2 linked regions of the Drosophila melanogaster genome follow. The protein of the gene in region 2 interacts with the protein of the main gene of each other region in a pairwise test. Each region holds a gene or a part of one and is shown on either strand. Other genes may lie near its edges.

Region 1 (10,454 bases), on a different chromosome or scaffold from region 2:
TGCGGCGGCAGCCAGCCAGGCGATCGTGGCCACACAGCAGATGCAGCAAGGCCGCCGCACGGCCAGCCTCAAGGCGAGTTACGAGGCCATACACGGAACAGCGGGCACCACCACCGACTTCTGGACCCAAGCCGGTCAGGGTGGACTGCAGCAGTCGACCGCTGGATCGGTGACAGTGGCTGCCGGCACAGCGTTGGCCACCGGCGCAGCTGGCGGTAGTAGCACCGGCTCGCATCATTCGCACCACTCACAGTCGCACCATGGCGGCCATGGGCACGGACATGGTCATGGCCATGGGCATGGTCATGGGCACGGACACCACAGCAGCAGTGGTCACGGCGGCGGGCACAGCAGCCACCACCAGGAGAAGAAGCAAAAGAAGAAGCTAACCACAGCGCTGACGTTGCCCACAGTGCAGCCGACGGCCGGCTCCTCGTCGGGCAACTCGATTGGCTCGTCGTCGTCGATTAGTCTGGAATCGGTGAACAAGCTCACCACGTCGGCGGCCCTGGCGGCGGCATCGGCCACGACAACCTACATGTCTGTGGGTGGACAGGCGCTGCTCGCCATGACCCCCGGAGGTGGAGGCGGAGGCAACTTGGCGGAGAGTTCCGCTGAGGGCGTGCCCGCCGGAATGATTGCCATGAACCTGCCCACCACCACGGTAACGCCCGGCTCCAGCCTGACCATCGGCGAGAACGGACTCGTGGTGGAGCAGACGAACGAGGGCGAATGGTCGTACGATCCCAACGAGCCGCGCTACTGCACCTGCAACCAGGTGTCCTACGGCGACATGGTGGCCTGCGACAACGACGCCTGTCCCTACGAGTGGTTCCACTACCCCTGCGTGGGCATCACCCAGCCGCCCAAGGGCAAGTGGTACTGCCCCAAGTGCACCGCCTCCATGCGGCGCCGTGGCAACCGAAAGAACTGAGGCTGACTGCGCCTGCTGGCGCCCCTCTTCCGTGGCGGGGGCGGCGGCGTAGGCACCTGGTCGCGTCGCTAGCGGCTCTTATACTTGTAAAGTGACAAATAAACAAATTCAAAGTATTCAATAAAGTTAGATCAGCAATAGAGCAGCTCTTTATATTCAGTTCGGAACGCAAAGGCGAATAGTGGATTGGGATTGCACTAATATATCTTAACTAAAGTAGTTTAAGCCAGCTTCTAGCTTAAATAACAAATTTAGGGTGTTTTCGCTACAATAATAATAAACAATAAAATATAGTTCATTCGATAGTTTGATTTCAAAATTCGCGCCCTCTTGGCAATCAAACAGCGTGACCATGCTGCGCTTGCTAAAGCACTCTGGTCACGCTGAACAGAAGAAAAGAAAATTTCCAGCGTCATTTGTGCATTGCAAGTTAGTAAACAATAAAAGCGCATAAACAGGGCTAGGAAAAGCGGGAAGACGATTAGGTAAACAGAATTCGACGCAAATCGGTTGGAAAAACGGCCTCAAGATTGGCAAGATACGCAAGAGCAAGAAAATGAGCTACAACGAGAAATCGGAGGCCATCATCAAGGAGGAGTGGCTGCAGCGCCTGGAGCAGTTTCCCTTCAAGCAGGCGGACATGAATCGCCTGATCATGAACTACTTGGTCACAGGTGAGTCCGGGTCACCAGCCCGCAGCCACAGCAAGCAGCTAATCAAGGGCTAATCCACAGAGGGCTTCAAGGAGGCCGCCGAGAAGTTCCAGCACGAGGCGGATCTGGAGCCCAGCGTGGAGCTGAGCAGCCTCGATGGGCGCATACTCATCCGCGAAGCCGTGCAGGCGGGCCGCATCGAGGAGGCCACCCAGCTGGTGAACCAGCTGCATCCTGAGCTGCTCGGCAGCGATCGCTATCTGTTCTTCCACCTGCAGCAGCTGCAGCTCATCGAGCTGATACGCGCCGGCAAGGTGGAGGAGGCCCTGTCCTTTGCCCAAAGCAAGCTGTCCGAGTCCGGCGAGGAGGCCATGTTTGAGCTGGAGCGCACCCTGGCCCTGCTCGCCTTCGAGAAGCCGCAGGAGAGCCCCTTCGCCGACCTGCTGGAGCAGTCGTACCGCCAGAAGATCGCTAGCGAGCTCAACTCGGCCATCCTGCGCTGCGAGCAGAGCGAGGACTCCACGCCCAAAATGATGTTCCTGCTCAAGCTGATCTTGTGGGCCCAGTCCAAGCTGGACAGCCGCTCCATTAGCTATCCCAAGATGAAGAACCTAGAGACGGCGCACCTGGAGCCCAAGTAGAAGGGCAGCGCCACCCCCTTCGACTTCTTTTGCTAATGCTATTGCTAATATATCTCCATTTAATAAGTATGTATATGTATGTATGCTGGATGTAGGCAGTGAATTATTAAATAAGTAGCCGGAAACTCCATCACTCCATCTATCCATCCATCCGACTTGCCATCAGCCCTTCTTACCAGCCGAATATCAGGTCCATGGCCTTGTCCATCAGACCGGAGCTCTTTTGCGGCACATCCTTCTGCGGCGATATGATGTTATCTTTGCGGGCCAGCTTGTACGACTGCTGGGAAAACGGTCGAATCGCACTGGGGCTGGTGGGGGGATCTCCTATCTCTGCATTGGGCACAGAGCCGATGTTCTCCTTATCGATCACCGACCTATCCGTGCAGCGCGACACGCCCACCATCACATTGCCGGCGATGATTTTTTCGTTGTAGTTCAGCGCCTTGTCGCTCTCGATGCGCGAGGAGTAGCGCACATACATCCAGTTGCCGTTCTGCGGGGCATGCACCACGTCCACAATGGTGCCGCAGACGGTGAAGTGCTGCAGCACCATGGAGCCGGCCCCCGGCGGGAACCCGAAGATGGTAACCCAAAAGTCGGATAGGCGCGAGTTGCCGCCCGTCGTCACGGATGTGCCCAGGCCTCCAGCTGGCGAGGCAGTGGCTCCAAGTGGCGAGCACAGTGCTCGCATCGAGGCATTGATGGCATTGGGCGCCCCGGGTGCGAACGAGTCATTCGTGTGATAGCTGCTCTGGTAGCTCTGGTTCGGTGACTGCAACTGCAGCATGCCAAGATGGTTCTTCTTCTTCGGGGTGACGGACTGTTCGCGCAGCGAGTCGAAGAGTCCCTGGGTGGGCGGTCCCGTCTGGTGGTGGCTGTGCGTCTGGCCGTGCGCGGTCGTTGAGCTGTTGGCGCCCACAGCCGTGTGGGCGCCTCCTTGGGCGGCGAACAGAGTGCGTGTGCTCAGAGCGGAGCGGTTGAGCTCGTGCGGACTGCTGCCGCCGGGCGAGGTGGCTGCGGGGCATGTGTTCATATAGCCAATGCGTACGAGCTGCTTGATGCCGGCTACTTACCGAAACTTATATTAGAGCGCCCGGTTTTCGGGGACAGCGTGTTCTTGTGCGGCGTTATACCTTGCGGATCGCCGAGCAGAAAAGGTGGCAGATACTGGGTCTGGTTGGAGCCAGGACTGTTGACCGGGCTGCCCAGATTCATTGGCTCCATATCGAATGCGAATATTAATTATAATAATTATAACGGCGAAAAACGAAAAAGCGTTGCATTAACAAGGACGCCACAGCTGTAATCGGTTAGTGCGACCAGGCTGGGCTGGGGTCGAAATGCTAGAGGTGGATGCCAACATCGATGTCATCGATGTTTTCGAAAAATCACAAACATCGATGTTTTTCAAAGAATCATCGATGTTTTTCCATCTTTACTGCGCATCGTAGGTTAAAAGTGTTTAAATTGTGAGTATAAATTAAATTTCCAAATTTTCCAATTTCCATTTATTAATAGCATATTGCAAATTTTCAGTGACTTGCTGGTGGTCTTGGCTGGCGTCGTGGAAGACGACACGTATATTTATGCATGTATGCATGCGTGCACCTGCTCGTATGCATACTGGCTTACTTTTCTATTGAATTACTTTTCTATTGAATTGCATTAATTAGTATATTTGATTTATAGGAGCAATTATTGGACCAGGGGCGGATAAAAACGTAGACGGCAATAAGCTTGTCATGTTTAGTTATAGTACTGCCTTTTTATTTAAGCAATTATAAAAAAATAATAATCTTTAAGTTAAGCAGTTAATTTTTTTGTTTTTATTGAAAACATCGATGTCCGCCAACATCGATTTCTCCACCTCTACTAAATACGCCGTTCTTCGCAGTCGCGCCGCGCAACTTGCACTTTTGCAGCTCCCCGACTGGCAGTGGGCACATTTCGTTTCCCCCAAACGGTCACTCTAGCGGCCACCTTTCAAACAACAACATCACGCGTCGCGTCTCCGTCTTTTTCCTTTTTTTTTTTACATTAGACTACACTACGTTCTCCTGGCGTTTCGTTCGTGTCGCGCGTGATTAAATTGGCAACTGAGAACAATAAGAAGAAATCACAGTGTGCGAGCAGCAACAAACACAACGATTAGTGTAAACAAAACACATCGACAACAACAATCCAAATTACAATATAGGCAAAGAAGAAGAAACGAAAGGCAGGACCTTCGCAGCAAGAGCGAGACAGCAAAGGATCGGGATCGGGAGAGAGCGTGAGAGTGCGACTTGATCAACGGGATACAGGGTGACATGTGGAGTCCGACGCACTGTAGTGTAACGGGTAAGTGGGGGCGAAAAGCGGGGGACACCCGTTTTAGTATTTGTGTTTTTTTTTTATTTTTTTTTTACGGCGAATAAATCGCATTAAAACTTAAACTCGTTTGTGCCGCGTGTGTATGGGTGTGTGGCCTGCGCCGTTGTGTTGGTGTGTGCTTAAAATATTGTCATGACGGTCGTGTTGTTCCTATTGCTTTTGCTGCAGACGTACCAATTCGAAATTTCACTTTTTCCCCACCGCGCGCTTCCTCCTTTTGCCATTGCCTCTTGCTCTTCCTCTTGTGTTTTCCTGACTCCAGCAATTGCCTTTTTATCAGGCTTTTCTGGCTGATAAGATAATTCCCTTGCTCGAATGCGCACTTACTCATCGCATTGCTAGAAAATTGCTCATGCTAAGCGCTCCCCTTATGTATTTGCATCGCCTTCCGCCCCTTGGCATTCCTTAGCATACGCCCATGGTGGCGCTTTTTTGGTGCCTCTTGTTTACCTTTGCCATTGTTTTCGTTTTGCGTTTTCTTCAGGGCTAAGTGTCAATGAGAAATCGCGAATTCCGATTCCAAATTCGTGACAAAACACAAAGCGCGCTCATTCTGCTGTTCCCAGTCCAGTGATTATGGAAACAAATAATAACTGAAAGCCAAAGCATAGATATTTTCATATCTCCAACATGGCCAATAAGACCCTTTAAGAAATGTTTTCCGCAATGTTAGTTATTGGTTGCAATAGTGGCCACTGGGCGGCCAAATGAGTAAATGAGTCACGAATTGTGGTTCAATCTAGAGCTGCGTGGAATTTACACAAATCAAGATGATAAATACACTGGGCTCCATTGACATGAACGGATCCAGCTTGTTGTGATCTTGAACTTGCCCCGCTATCAGTTAGTACGTTCTTTGCCTCAATTCGCTCGTTTCATTTATTTTGCATATTTGCACAGCGCACAGTGTTTTATTCCAGCAATTTGCGATTAAAACCCAGAGCCGTTGACGTCACGGCGAATGAGCAAACAAATCATCGCCGTGTGGCTCTCCCAAATTCGCCGAGTTTCGCCTTGTTTGTTAAGTTCATATGTACATATATACAAATGTACACGCACATAAATACACCTGTCAATATTTGCCAATTTCTTTGCGATGAGAATGAGATGAGCGCGCACGCTTTGGAAACAGCTGTTTTCGCTGCTGTTCTCAGGAGCACTCTGTTCCCTATCCTTTGAAATGCCATAGTGTTCCCACACAGAGAGAAATTGCGACTCAAAAGGATTCGTTTTTTTTTTTGTTGTCTCTTTTCAAAACGAAATACAAAACTATTAACTTATATATAGAATAGGCAATTCTGGACTGAAATATTTAAATTAAAGGCCATGTTTTTTTTTTTTTTTAATTATTGCACAGCTGCAGGCTTTGAATTCTACTTACCAGATTTGCTAGTTAAATTAAGAATTCATCTGAGTTTACCATGTTTACATGCATGTTTGCATGCCAGAGAATTTCTTTCACTGTGCTTTTTTCGTTTCCCCTGTTAGATCATCCAGCAAACACCTGGCGTCCCGCCCTCTTATTAATGGCTTGTTGTTTGGGGACCATTTAGTCTGGGAGAGTTCCTTATCGACTGCGAACTCCACCCAATTGGCCCATTGCGTGCCTTATTTTTAGCCGTAAATTCTTGGCCGCCACTTACTCACTCACTCACTCCACTCACTTACTCGGCTACTTACTCCAACTCGCACATCTACGGACACACCTACTGAATAAATGCCTAAAATACCTGAAAATGAAAATTCCTCAGCGGGAAATTGTGCAATGAGCGGCGGGCAGCCAAGCAGACCCAAACAAAACAAACGCCTAATTTTCCTTTTCATTTCCATTTTGGTTTTTGGTTTATGTTTGGCTTGCTTTTGCAACGCATTTTATGCGGTTGCAGTGAAAATCAGAGCGGACCAGACCGCCCTTTTTTTTATCGATAATGAATGGTGGCGGCACAGTGAATACCTGCTAACGCGGAAGCCAGGTACCAGGTACTATATAACAAACCTATATTTCTTGTATTTATACTGCTAAAAATACAATGGAACCGTGTGATACATACGTAGTAATCTGTTACACTTCTGAACCTTTTAAGCAAGATATTGTGTCGTTCGACTAAAAGATAGATATTCTAATTAAATTGAAAAATGATCTTTATGGCAGCTTCTACTGTATTTCCCCTACTATCACCGAATCGATAAGGAAATCAGTGCGATAAGAGCTGGAGCTGTTGCTAGAACTGTAGCTGGAGCTGGATCACCTCTGGTCACGTCAGCGGGCAGATGGCGTCTTGAGATTGTGTCCACTTCTTCCGCACCCTGCCCGGCGATGCCATCGTCCATGTGAGACCGTTTTAATGCGGCTCCATCGATGCACTTATGCGAAACAGTTACGTTCCATTGCTCGACCCATTTAGCCAGAATAGAACCAAACAAACCGAAGCGGATCGGATGGGATCGGGATGGGTCCGGGGTTTGGTCTTATGATCATGATGGAAGGGGGAGGGGAGGGGAGGGGATAGTGAAGAAAAACAGGTCTGGCATTGGATGGGATCGCTGGCCGAAAGTCTCTTCGCATCGCGGGTCTGCAATTGATTATTTTCCAGTTCCAGTTCTTGGCCAGTGGCCACATTCCTCCGGCGCTTGCCGAACCCCAGTCCCCAGTCACCAGTCCCCAAGCACCGAGCCCCGAACACCCGGGCACATCCTCCCCTGAATATTCATGCTGGGAATCTCGGATTCTTTGAGCCACCGGGGCATTTATATTCAAAACATGCCATGGCAAACAGAAGCCAACTGCAACTGAAATGCTAATCGCCTTTCGTTTGGGAAAACTGTGTTTCATGTCTTCTGCTGTCTGTTTTCCATTTCAAAATCGCACGGCTTCGTGGGTTCAATGCTTGCGAGAAAGAAATTGTTTATGCATAACAATAAAATGATTCGCTGTAAGATGGTGGGATCCCATTGATAGACCGTTTACTTTGATCGCCGCCTCTGTACATTTTCGCATTTTCGCACGATCCGCACACACCCACACACACATACGTATGTACATACTAATGTATGTATGTACATATGTGTGCAATGTTGCATTGCCTGCTCGATGTTGCAGTTGCAACATTAATTGTTGCTAATGCTTTTCATCAAACGGGATCTGTGCTGTAATGCGGGGCCATAAAGGCGAGGATTGGCCCCCAGTTAGGTGAGCTTGTAGCACGTGGTTAACCCGAGTTGAAACCCATAACCCTGAACTCCGCACCATGAACCCTTCATCTTTCGATTGGCGCACTCGTTAGGCAAGAGCCGTCCAAAAGTGAGTCTCGAGAAGAACTATCTTCCGAAATGGGAGCGCGAGCAAGTGGCTCATTAGCATGCGTGGTTGGATGCCCATGCCCCAAGGAGCATTGGCCTCGGCTAGCAGTTTGCTGTATGTATATACATATACTTGGCCACGCCCTCTCACCGCCCCCGAAAAAAAAAAAGAGTGCGAGAGCTAAAAAAAAGTGGAACATGAAAGTGCGTGCTGGGAATTTCACGTTTAAAGTGCGCCATAAGAAGCAGCAGCTATAGAAGCTCTTTATGATTGCGATGCACTATATCTGTATCTGTATCTGTAGCTTGGTCGAGGGCTGGCGGGGATGGGGCCCGTCAATTAGGTTTCACACACACACACACACACATAATCCCCTGACTTGTGCGATCACTTCATGCCATAGTTTCTCTTTGGGAAATGTTGGGGGGATATGAATGGAGATGCCAATGGAAATGGAAATGGAAATGGTCACCTGGGGAGCATCAAAGCACTGCATACTGCACACGCAGAAACCAGAAAAGCAGCCGGGAAATCAAGCAAACAAGCCAAGGCACACCGAGAAATGATTTCATTGAAATTAATTAACCCGAAAGTTGACCTCTCCCCTCTCCACCCATTCCCTCCTCACATTTACACACACACACATGTAGTGGCGAGTCAGAAAGGTCAACAATATGCGATGGCAGATGTTGATTCTATTGTCGGCCGTCTGTCTCTCTGGGGTCGCATAAAACACAAAACAAAGGTGCAGCCGCCTGTTTGCTTGCCTCGCCACGGAGGCTTTTAGCCATAATTGACTGTAAACTAGAAGGGGAGAAACAGGGGATTTAATCATCCGATTCAGTTACCCCCACGTACACACGTACCAATATCAGGAATCCAATTCCAGTAGCCCAGAATCGAAATCGAATGAACATCGATCGGCAAGCAGCGAAAGATTTCTCTTTTTAGCATCGAAGCCAGCCGTTATTTTCGTCGGCTTATTTGGGCCACGAACGACAGGTGACTCATGTTCCAGAGTTCCAGTGCCATGAGTAAGCCAGCCTGACAATCCTGCCCTGCTTTTCTGCTCCATATCATAGATAACTCTCGTACACTTCTGACATTCTGCTGATACAAATTGAATTGAATTGAATTGCGCCGCCCTTTGCACGTGATTAAAACGAAACTGGGAGGAATAGTGCTTCTGTTTTGGCACTGCTTCTATTATCGCCTCTCAATCCGATCGAAACACTCGGGGGCACTTGGTGCTCACATATGTATATGCTGATCATCGCTAGGCGAAAATCAAATGCGCAACTATGCGGCACAGTGGGCGCAAATTATGATGTTTTCGAGGCAAAAATGGTACTTCAGAGTGGCCAAAATGAATCACCTTTGGCACACGGTGCCGGCAGCGTCATTAGTTTCGAGAGGCGGCCATAAAAGCGGACCAACTTAACGGTTTCGCCGTTGGTGGATTGCTATTTGGTTTTGGGTTTTGGTTGTATTTTTTCGGCTCTGCCTGCCTTGTTTGTTGCTTTATTTTGCTTTTCGTTATTTTGCTTACCATTTTGCCATTTAGCATTTGGCATTTCTATTTTGGGGCGCCCCTCCATGCAAAACACCACCATTACCATCGTCGCGTTATGAAGGGGAACTGGCTGGGCAGACAGACAGACGGGCAGGCAGGCAGGCAGGCAGGCTGGGGAGTCCATCGATCTCTGGGCGGATTTGCATGAACCGCTGCACGAAATTGCCGGGCGGGTTATTGACAGCCATACTCGTGGCCATCCATCTTTCCGTCCATGAGCTCTGTTAGCCATCAGCTATTAGCTCGAGAAAAAAAAACCAAGCCCAGAGCGACCTGAAGATGAGCAGGTTGCTCCGCTTTGGTCGCCACTCATTGATCTTCGGCAGCCGTTGGATTATCGATATTAGCCCAGGGGCGCTGCCCCGTCTTTAGCCCCAATGATTGGTACGAAAAAAGTGGAGGAAAAACGGGAAAAATCAGCGACGGTCCGGCAGAAGAAGCGGAAAACATTTCAAATTGGCTTACAGGCATGCAGACGGGAAAAACTGTTAATGCGATAATAATTATGAGACGCCCACTCGGTGGAAAAGGGGGCGGGAAAAGGCATAAGATGTGGCACTTGCACCCGAACAGAAATCGAAACCGAAACCGAAACCGAAACCGAAGACACCGAAAATGATGCACAAATCTGCAGGCCAGGCCCATTGTTTCTGCGCTTTCCCGCTTTTCTTCTAGTCAATTTTCACCGCCTTTCGTTGACACCGCTTTTCACTTTTTGCCTTGTTGTCTATGCCCGGTAATTGCTTCTTTTCCCTTCAACTCTTTTTGCTTTCTACTCTTCACTTTACCTTACTTTTCCTTCTTATTTTTTTGGCATTACGAAACGCTGGAGGGGATTGCGAAAAACAGACTTTGTGCAAGTGCCCAATCACATTTGAATAATCGAAATGTATGGCGATTGCCGGGGAGGAGCTGGAGGATGAGGTGGAGTCTCTGTCCCGCTATTTCCACATGTGGGGTGATGAACATCTGGGCA
Region 2 (9,930 bases):
TTAACTACTCATCGGCAACGGTTTGAATTGAAAATGGCATCTTCGATGGACTTACTCTGGCTTTTTGGCATTTTGGTTATCAGCAGCGTGCTACTGGAAACTTCGACTCTGAACAGCGAAGTTGTGGAGTCCGTAACCGTTGCTTCGAAGTCAAGCAACTTCAGTGAAAATGTGAAAATAAAACTGGAAAAAACCTGGAATCATAATGGAACTATGCAGGCGCAACCGTACAATATTCTGGAGACCAACTGTCCTCATGGCTATGTCCTGGCAAATAAACATTGCCACAAGCGTGCCTAAACGTATTGAAATAAATGTAAATGTTACGTAAAGATAATTTCTGTTATAGCACATTTTGAATTGAAGATCATATGTTCGCATATAATTACACAATTATAAAATATATATGATTTAAAAGCATCTCTGTAAGACAACTTTAAATAGCTCTTGGCATTCTCCTAACTTGGCACTCAATAAAAATTGCACCTTATGGCATTGCTAAGTGTCCACAAGAAAATTCTGCCCCCACTCGTTTTCGAGACTTTTTACACAATTGACTCAGGTCATCAGAGAAGACCCTCGATTGCCCCCTGATTCCGCCCACTCCTCGGTTCACTATCAACCAATATGTTGCGGTTGCTTCCATGTCCAACCTGGCCAGCTGGCCCACCTCCACTCGGACCGAGCATTACCCAAGGGACGGGGTGGTTCGGCTGGCTAACCGCATACATAATTTGCGACAGCAACCGCAAAATGCGGCCGCACAGGATCCCCACTCTGGCCAATACTCAGACCCTGACTGATATGCAAGCCAAGGACTGTCATTAGTTAGAGGTCCATTAACAAAAATGCAACCGATGGCTGCTGCGATGGCCAGACGGGCGGACCGTCATTTACAGGTAGCAGCTGCATTGACAGGACCCCAAGAGCAGGACTCCATGTGAGGGTCCGGAAGTTGGCGCATTAATTCAGGAGGCAGCCATGAAATATGACGACACTCGGGGGCTCTGCTCTGCTCTGCTCCGCTGAATGAGTTAATTAAGCGTCTCACGGCCAGAAACATAATTTGGGCTCATTTATCAGTGACGGCGGTGATGCGGTGCATGTAAATTTGCCTTAGCGATGGGAAATGTCAGCCGTTATCCTTGGCAAAACACGAAAGTTTCATTACAAAGTACACAAAGAAAAACAAATGCGCTATAGCCTTTGCATGACCAAGCAGAGACCTATTTTTCTATTCAAAAATATCATTTTATTTTTTTCAGTGTACACGCTTTATGCGCGAATGTCTGGCGGGCTTAGAGCTGCTGACCCAGAGGATTGTCCAGCCAGGGATAGACGGACGGGCACTTGTCGCATACGGTCATGTAGCGCTCCTCGCCGGTGGACATCTTTTGGACGTGGCACTGGACCGCTCGACACTCCGCCTCCGGCAAATCGGGACAGTCCTTGAACGGGGAGCCCAGCGTCGGCTTTCTCACGTACTCCAACATTCGCGAAATTCCGGTGAAATACACATCCGAATAGGTGTTCAGGTGGTTAATGAATCTGCGCGAATTTAATTGGGTAGTTATTTTCAATTTGTTAGAAACCTGAGGTATAAAGCTGCTTTATCTTTATCTGTAGGTAGTATATGGTACACGGAATTATAGTTACTTACTTTTTAAAGGCACCAAAGTAATTGCGACCCCGCGAAAACCACGCAGCATGCAGATACATCCCGAAGGGTGCTCTATTGCCAAGATAGTGCCTATTGAAGTTCTCCATCATCCAGTCGAACAGCTCGTCCATATCGTCCTCCGGCGGGTAAACGCAAGCATCGATCATGGAGCAACTGTAGCCCTCAGTATCGGTCCACGTGACCATGGGATTCACCCAGAATCCGGGAATGGATGCCTCTGGACAGGGGCCTATTTGACAGTCCTGCTTAGACTTGTAGTCCAGGGTGTACGGCCACATGGCCGGATCCTTGAACTTTTGCGTTGGCCAGGAACTGTCGTAGGTCAAGCCCAAGCGACGGGCTGCTTCAAAGGTGTTATTGCCCGAAATTTGGAGGAACGGCAGGCGCATTCCCTGTATCTTCTTGGGATTTACTTTGGCAAAGGTCTCTAACATTTTGAGCTGCGCTCCAAACTCTCGCTCGATGGTCGGAACATCAGCTGAACGCCAGTAATCGGTGCCATCTCCATGGGTCACCGAATGTAGGGCTATCTCGTGACCGGCCCTATAGAGTGCATTCACCCTCACGTAATCCGTGTATTCGTGGGACAAAAAGAAGGTACCGGCGGCTCCACAACCATCTGGATTGATTAATCCATCGAAAAGCAGCTCGTACTGGGCAAAGTTGACAGCATTTACAGCGTCATCGAAAGTGATGGTCACGAACTGGGAAAGAATATATTCATATATAAGTATTTATAAGATGCATTTCTGATTTATCGAAAGCAACGGAATGTGTAATATATTAAGAAATTGTTACAAATTGTTACACCTGCGGAATCTGGTTCTCCTTGCCCTGGAACTTGGATGTGGGTAAAGCGGCATCGGAGCAGCGGCAATCGGGTAATTTGCACTTGCTGGGTTTGCAGGGTTCGGCCATTGGCAGGATTCCATTCTGCTTATTCTTCTGCTTTTTGGACTTGGACTTGGCCTCGCTCATGAGAGCCACGGTCAAAATTAGGCCCAGAATTAGCAAGGTAGAGTACTTCATGCCGGCCTAGAAAGAACTCTATGCTCAGCCATCGATGCTCGATGGTCTTCTTATAACCTTCAGGGAAAAGTGATATCTTATCGGTTTCTTGGGGCTCCAAATATGATTTGCTTGTTCAGCACAAGGTGTGGCTCAATTGGGTGGGGTTTCCTCAAGTGACCTTGTTTCATCCGCAGAGCAATACCAACTTCATTCAACCAAAAAGAGACAAAACTTTCAATTATAGACATGCCAACGATCTCGGAGTGGCCAAAGTTTGTCTCATTAGCATAACCAAGGAACTTAGCAGCTGAGATTTGCCGAGTTGAAGTGGAAAACTTTTCACACTTGCCGGAGATCGCAATCGATGGGCGCCGACTGCAGCCCAAATTATGACAGACCATCCCCCAGTCAGCCAGGAAAATGCACTTCAAATCGTAAACAAGTGCTTCACAAACTTTTCACAACAGCGACAGGAAGCTCTCAAAAACAAAGCACAAGGAACTCTCAGACCCCCAGCCAATCACACAGTGGGTGGAAGTCCTCAAATCCCGGCAGGCAGTGGGAAAAAGTCAATACAAGATTGAGGAAAAATCTGCAATTCCCTTGGGGAGCGAAAGTAGTCGAAGGAGCCGGAGGAGTCAGACATCCGTTTCCCGATTACTCGGGGTGCACGCCCCGAATGCGATTTGGTCACGTTCCTGGGCGTTGCCATCTCGGCTAGGAGCCGCAAACGTGGCCAACCAACCGCCAGTCAGCCGAAAGGACTCTCGGAAAAGCAGGCTGAAAACTGGGTGGAAAGTTTCGACACTCGGCACTCCGACACTCCGTTGTAGGGGCAATGCAACATGTTTGAGTGAGTTCGATGGTAGGGTTTTTATATCAAACCATCTTCACGATGAATTCTAATGAAGATTGAAGTTGCCGGGTTGGGTTCTTTATTGAAATCTGATTGATAGCGAACCGGGCATCGCTCGTTCATCAACACTCATTAGGAAGAGCACTATGCAAGGGCGTTGGGGTGTGAAATCAAAGGAAAAGATAACTAAACCAACCTCATTCCAACTCACACCAAAGGACACATGTGTGCCCTAATCAAAACATCTCACGTGACCGAAACTGCTCTAAAATGCAAATTTCTCGAGGCTAATAAAAATGTTACTCATATGCGTGGAAGATTTCCCAAGTGCCGAAGGCGACCAAAGAGAAAATTCGCACGCACGTCTGAAGCTGAAAACTATTACGCGGTGGCGGTTTTTCCACCCCGGTTCGGATTGCCTTCTGTTTGCCAATTTTCGCGATAATCACACAACTAATTTGCATAGCACTGAGACCAGCAAATCTGGGCTAATCAAATCAAGCAAACGAACAAACTCAATTTGCGGCTGAAGTATTAATGCGAACTTATACATGTTTTATTTTAAATACTCTATAAGAAAGGTTGTGAGTTTCAATTTGTACTGGCCTATGTTTTTACTATGCTACACTAAATTAGTATTTCATTTTTATGTATAATAGTGTTTACTCCAAATATACATTTCGGAAAAGTACACACAATTACATATTTTGTATTTTATCCTAAGAAAATGGTGTAGATTAGTTTAATCTAGGAAGCGGAAATAAGAATTCCTCCAAGTCTCCTTTTAAATATTTCTAGTAGAGCATTTCAATTTTGGAAAGGGGCTTTTTCCAAGCCTACGCAGATCTTAAGTCTTACGAAAGCCTCCATCATCATCGCATCCATCTGTTATTGCTTTGATGGGACTATGCAAATCTCGGCTTGCGAGATAGCCTGGCATTTCATTTCAAATAATTTTAGGGGGAGGCCAGCAGAATCCCAGGCAAAGCAAACAATTTTCCAAAAGAAATAGGCAAAATTCAAAATTACCGGAGGATGGCGCAAAGGGAACGCAAGGCAGGAGTTGTAAAGAGGGACAAGGCAGATAAGTGGAACCATGTAGAGACGGCTCGATACTTTAGGGATTTGCAGGAAAATGAGGTGCGAACGATGCATTATTTGGGGCTGGCCTACGTGGTTTTGTCTCGTCGCCCAAATTTGCAATTGAAAGTTCCACTGTCCACTCAAAACTATGAAGATGGAGCCATTGTGGGAGCAGGGGAGCGAGGAGGCTATGCCCTCCAGTTGCTCTTCACCTGTGCTGCGAACTATCCACTCGCAAGGCCGCTGGTGGAGATCGTGGAGAAGCGCAATGTGAGCGACGCCTTTGAGCAGGTTCTCCGCAAAGAGATTGACCTGATTTTGGAGGAACATCTTGGCCTCCAGATGATTGTGCCGGTGGTGACCCGGCTACAAATCACGCTGAATACCGAGATGAAAAGGCAGCGCTTTTAAATAAGGTCACGCATAAGTTGTTTTTTGCCATATTATGCGTAACAGTTATTTGTGGTCAATTTTAAGTACAATAAAATTAAGCATTTTCCATAAATATGTACTATGATTACTGCCCATCTTCCTTTTTCTGTGTTATAATCGCATAATATATATTTTAAAAATGAATAATCTCAAGTAATTGCTCGGCTTTTCGGCCTTGGTCTTTGCCCCAGTTGTTTACAACTTGGCGTTGACGTGAATGGCCAGCACTCCGTCGTCCTCGGAGCTGCCAATGTAGATGGAAGCCCGTCCGTCGGATCCGACGGTGACGGTCTTGCCCGTGCAGGAGGAGCCGCTCTTGGAGCCGGAAATGACGTCGCAGTAGGTGCCGGCGGGCAGGCCCGTCTGCAGGGAGCTGTTCAGGTCGTAGTTGTCGTTGTTGAAGGCCACGAAGCCGCGGCTACCTCGGCTGAAGGAGATCTGATTGCTGCCGCTGTCCCACCAGTTCTGGATCTCGTCCAAGCCCACGGCGTTCCGGAAGGCCACCATGTTGTAGATCTGGCGCCAGCGGTGCTCGCACACCCAGCCGCCGCTGCAGGAGTTGTCGCTATTGAAGATGGGCGAGGCGATGTTGTGGCCGTCGGTGGTGGGCGGGCCCTGATCGGTGTCCGTGAAGGAGAAGGAGGACATCACGCGGGGAGTGCCGAATGGGTGCGCCAGCATGAAGGCGGAGGCCATCTTGTACTGCTTGGGCACCTTGTAGGTCAGCACGTCGGCGCCTCCTGCTCCATGTCCGCGCTGGTTGTCGTGGTTGTCGACGAATACCAGGGAGCGGTCGGAGGCGGCGAAGCCCCAGGCGGTGCCCCAGTTGGTCAGATACTGCAGCTGGTCCTTGCCGCGGAAGACCTTGCCGATGGAGTCGGAGTGGCGGAACTCGGTGATGGCGCCCAGTCCGGTGTACTCGGACTTGCTGATGGCCTCGCCGCCCATGTCGATGACCTCCTGGACGATGTACGCCTTGGATCCCGAGGCGAAGCCGTGGTCGGTGTTCAGGTTCTTGAGGCGGCCATAGATGACGGCCAGGTCGGCGGGCCACATGTGCTTGGCGGCGTCCACGCGGAATCCGGCCACGCCGAGATCAATCAGATGGTCCAGGAACTCGACCACCTTGTCCTGCACGTAGGAGTTGCCCTGGTTAAGGTCGCGCAGACCGACCAGCTCGCAGTTGCGCACCTCGTTGGCGTCGTTGTAGTTGCTGATGGCGCAGGTCGGGTTGAAGTCCAGCGAGGAGTAGGGCACTCCGGGATAGCTCTTGCTGCTGGGGCTGGCGGTGCTGCCGCCAGTGCCGTAGGTGCCTCCGTCGGCGGCCATGTGGTTGAAGACCACGTCCACGTAGGTGCGCACTCCGACGGCGTTGCAGCGCTTGACCATGCTGGCGAACTGCTCCTCGTTTCCGGAGCGGGTCTCCAGCTTGTAGGAGATGGGTTGGTAACGTTCCCACCAGGGGCGGCTGTCCTTGACGGCGTTCTCGTTCACAGGGGAGACCTGAACACCGGCGTAGCCATTGGGTCCCAGGAAGTTCTCGCACTCGGCAGCGATGTCGTCCCACTTCCACTCGAAGAGGTGGACCATTCCACTACGACCGGATGCGTAGTTGGTGTCGAATTGGGCATTGGCCACCGCCAGGAGGGAGAGGCACACTATGCTCTTGGCCAGAAACATGATGATTTTAGGTGGAAGCTAAATTTCACTCTGATTAAAAGTGTGTCGATGCAGCTGCTTATATAGGATGACCAAACCTATTCGGCTTTGCCGGGAGTGATTTGCGGATTGATCTTATCGCCCCTAAGTCGCTACGTTCTCTTGTATGTATTGAGTTGATTAAATCGCGATTAAGGCGTGTTATCTTAGCTCGGCGCAGACCTATTGACTGGTGGCTAATTATAATTAGTTCGACATAAGTAAACATCAAGACAATGCATTCCTCAGATATTGGTTGATATTGGAGATTTATTGGCCACTTGACTTGCACGCCACTAGAAGCGTGATCAATCTGAACTTTGGCCTACAAGGAGTAATTTATATTGTTCTAATTTTCACAATACTGCAAGTTAATGTGGTGTTTATAAAGTATGTAAAAATTAATTCAATATATCGATATTACCATCAGTAATTGGCTCATGTATCACCTCTAGAATTGCAATTTTTACGCAAAGAGTTTTCAATTACACGCTTGAAATTGTGGGCATCTTAGCTTAACAAATTAACAGTAGTATTAAGTAATATTATAAATAATGTACGTGCTACTGCTAATCCTTTTAGGAATCTCACGCTACAGGGCTCAGAAAAATTCACAATTGCCAGATGAACTTTACGCAGCCATCGTGAACAGCTTTTCGAACAGGAACATTATGTTCTCGACGGAGATGATACGATCCAGCATGCTGTTCATCTATGTGGGCGTGGAGGAAGATGAATCCGAGCAAATTCGAAAGGCTATGCACTATCGAGGAACCCATCTATCTGAATACAAGCCGAAAACACAGAAAATCTTTGCCATGAGTGTGAAGAAGGCACCTGTGGCCAAGAGTCTTACCCGATTCTATGTACGTCAGAATATGAAAATGTCCACGGAATATAGAGTTTTTATGCGGCATACAGAGGGAAGAGCTCGTAATATCGCCTTTGCTCGTGAACAGCTAGACGAGGTTAATACATTTTACAGCCATGAAATGGGCGAGCAAATTGGGCAGGTGGTAAAAGAAAGCTGGTGGAAACCGAACAGCCAAGGACTTCTCGTAAATGCCATTTTCTTCAATTTGAGTTGGGAGCGGACATTCAATCCGGAGGCCACATATCCCCGGGAGTTTCGAGTAAATGCCACAAAGAGCGTTATGATACCCATGATGCACGAGGATAGTAAGTTTGCATTTGGCATCCTAGGGAATCTTAAAGCCACCGCCGTCCTGGTGCCTTTTTCCCATGGAGATCTCCGAATGCTCTTGATAAAGCCCGATCAGCCTGATGGACTTGCTGCCTTGCAAATGAAGCTGCAGGCCATGAATATCTTAAGCGTTGCCAGGAACCTCACTATGATGGATGTGTTTGTGGGTATACCGAAATTTAAGATACACAGTGATCTAGAACTCTCTCCAGCTTTTGAAAAGATGGGCATCAAGGATATATTTAAGCCCAGCAAGTCATTTTCAACGTTGCTTCACAGGAATACCAACTTTCGGATTGACGGAGTTATTCATGTAGTCACCTTTGAGTTTCAGGAGCAGGGCATTGGTACGCCAAGTACAGATGTTGGTAAATTTAATTATCTAAAAATCCTGAAAGACACTGTTCTATTATTTTTTTTTTATTTCAGGCAATGGTAGTTTGACACACACCTTTAATGGGGTGAAATATTTTTTGGCTACTCATCCATTTGCTTTTTATATCATAGACAACACATCAATATATTTTGCCGGTCATGTAACAAGCTTTTAGAAATTAACAAAATTATTCCAAATTATTTGTGAGCAATACAGGTAATTTTTATATTCTCACCGTTTGTGGGGAAATATTATTGCAGAGCTATAATGTTTATGAATAATAAAGTAAATCGTTTCGTGTATTAAAAAGATAATGTTCATTTGTGGTCGAGCCATATTCATTTCATTCGGCTCCCGAAATATCTTTTGATTAGCCAAAGGAATGGCACTGGTTGTGCGCCATAAGAATCCAGGTCATGTAGTCCGCATATAAATCCCGGCAAATTCATGCATGACCCATAAAAACCAATACCCCCACTTGGCCAACGGACTTGCCGGCACTCCAGGAACATATTTCCTATTTATGACTGCAACTTTCGGTCGAGTCGGGTGGGGTGTAAAAATTTCAACACGCTCACACAAAAATTGCCAATTAAGCGCATTTATGACTGCAGCGCAGCGTAAGTATGTGCGGCATGCAACTAGCCGGGTAGAAGTCGGGGTCACCACCCCCAGAATCACCAGCTCCCGGTGGAAACAGTGTCTGGCCCATAAACATCCTTAATGCGAGGACGTGTGCACTCCGAAGACGCTCGTCGGATTATTAAGAAACAATGAAGACGGGACGTCGCTAGAAGCCATAAAAGCGGACACATAACGCCCGGTTTATGGCGCAAGTTAAAACCGGAAACTAAATAGTTGACACCGCGCGGACATTGACCATCGGATGCTGTGGGGTGTTCCAAGGGAGGGGCTACTCTCGTAAAACTTGGGTCAATGACGAAAACATAATTTGTAATTTGAATTTGCTTCGTGTTCGAGCATAAGCAATGAGCTTACCAGAATGTCCTTCGCCGTTGTCCTTTGGGTATAAGGGATTCAGCTCGCGTTTTGATCATTGCGCATATGATTCGTTGGAAAAGTGATTGCTGCTGCTGGTGAAGAGGCTTGTAGGTTTGTCACTACAGGAAATCAGCAGGTGTGATATATTGTTTATAACATTTTGGCATGTGTCCAGCAAACCCTTGACGTTGAATAATAATTAAATTTTCTTATAGTTGTAGCTTTATCTATTATTTGTGTAGCTTGAATGATTTATTGTTCTTTGAATGTGATAAGAGAATGAGATAACGTTTAGAGTGACGATGATAAGGTGAATTCAAACAATCAGTTAAATCAAAACTTTGTTAATTAATTGCAAGTCTTAACATCCAAAAAGTTGATAAGAGTAAATTAATTTATCAGTCTTAGAAAATTGTGGTAATTAATTGTGAGACTTTAGTTTGTAAGCAAGAAAGTTAATTTTCTGTGAACTTTCAGGAGTCTTAGGCTAAATGAAAACAAAATTAACTGGGAAGCGAATTACCCGAGTAACTCCACATTGCAGCGAGATATAAACTGAAATTAAAAAGTATCTTCTACATGGGGAG

Evidence for each region. The genes of interacting proteins can lie anywhere in the genome.
Region 1: the proteins of CG15605 (region 2) and Rip11 interact in a two-hybrid assay, tested with the Drosophila melanogaster proteins (one large-scale study listed by BioGRID).

Annotation. Positions count from the first base shown.
Region 1 is NC_004354.4:18,641,307-18,651,760, reverse strand, and holds the start of Rip11 (Rab11 interacting protein), read left to right. Parts: upstream 1-4,193; 5' UTR 4,194-4,540; coding exon 4,541-4,571; intron 4,572-10,454. Other genes in the region: Ing3 (inhibitor of growth family, member 3), read left to right, coding at 1-934; Hou (houki), read left to right, coding at 1,491-1,608, 1,669-2,228; Nup35 (nucleoporin 35kDa), read right to left, coding at 2,401-3,245, 3,305-3,455.
Region 2 is NT_033778.4:17,121,613-17,131,542, reverse strand, and holds CG15605 (uncharacterized protein), read left to right. Parts: upstream 1-4,519; 5' UTR 4,520-4,583; coding exon 4,584-5,042; 3' UTR 5,043-5,133; downstream 5,134-9,930. Other genes in the region: CG45273 (uncharacterized protein), read left to right, coding at 34-300; Cda9 (chitin deacetylase-like 9), read right to left, coding at 1,299-1,548, 1,661-2,385, 2,492-2,710; Amy-d (amylase distal), read right to left, coding at 5,259-6,743; Spn53F (serpin 53F), read left to right, coding at 7,316-8,333, 8,395-8,516.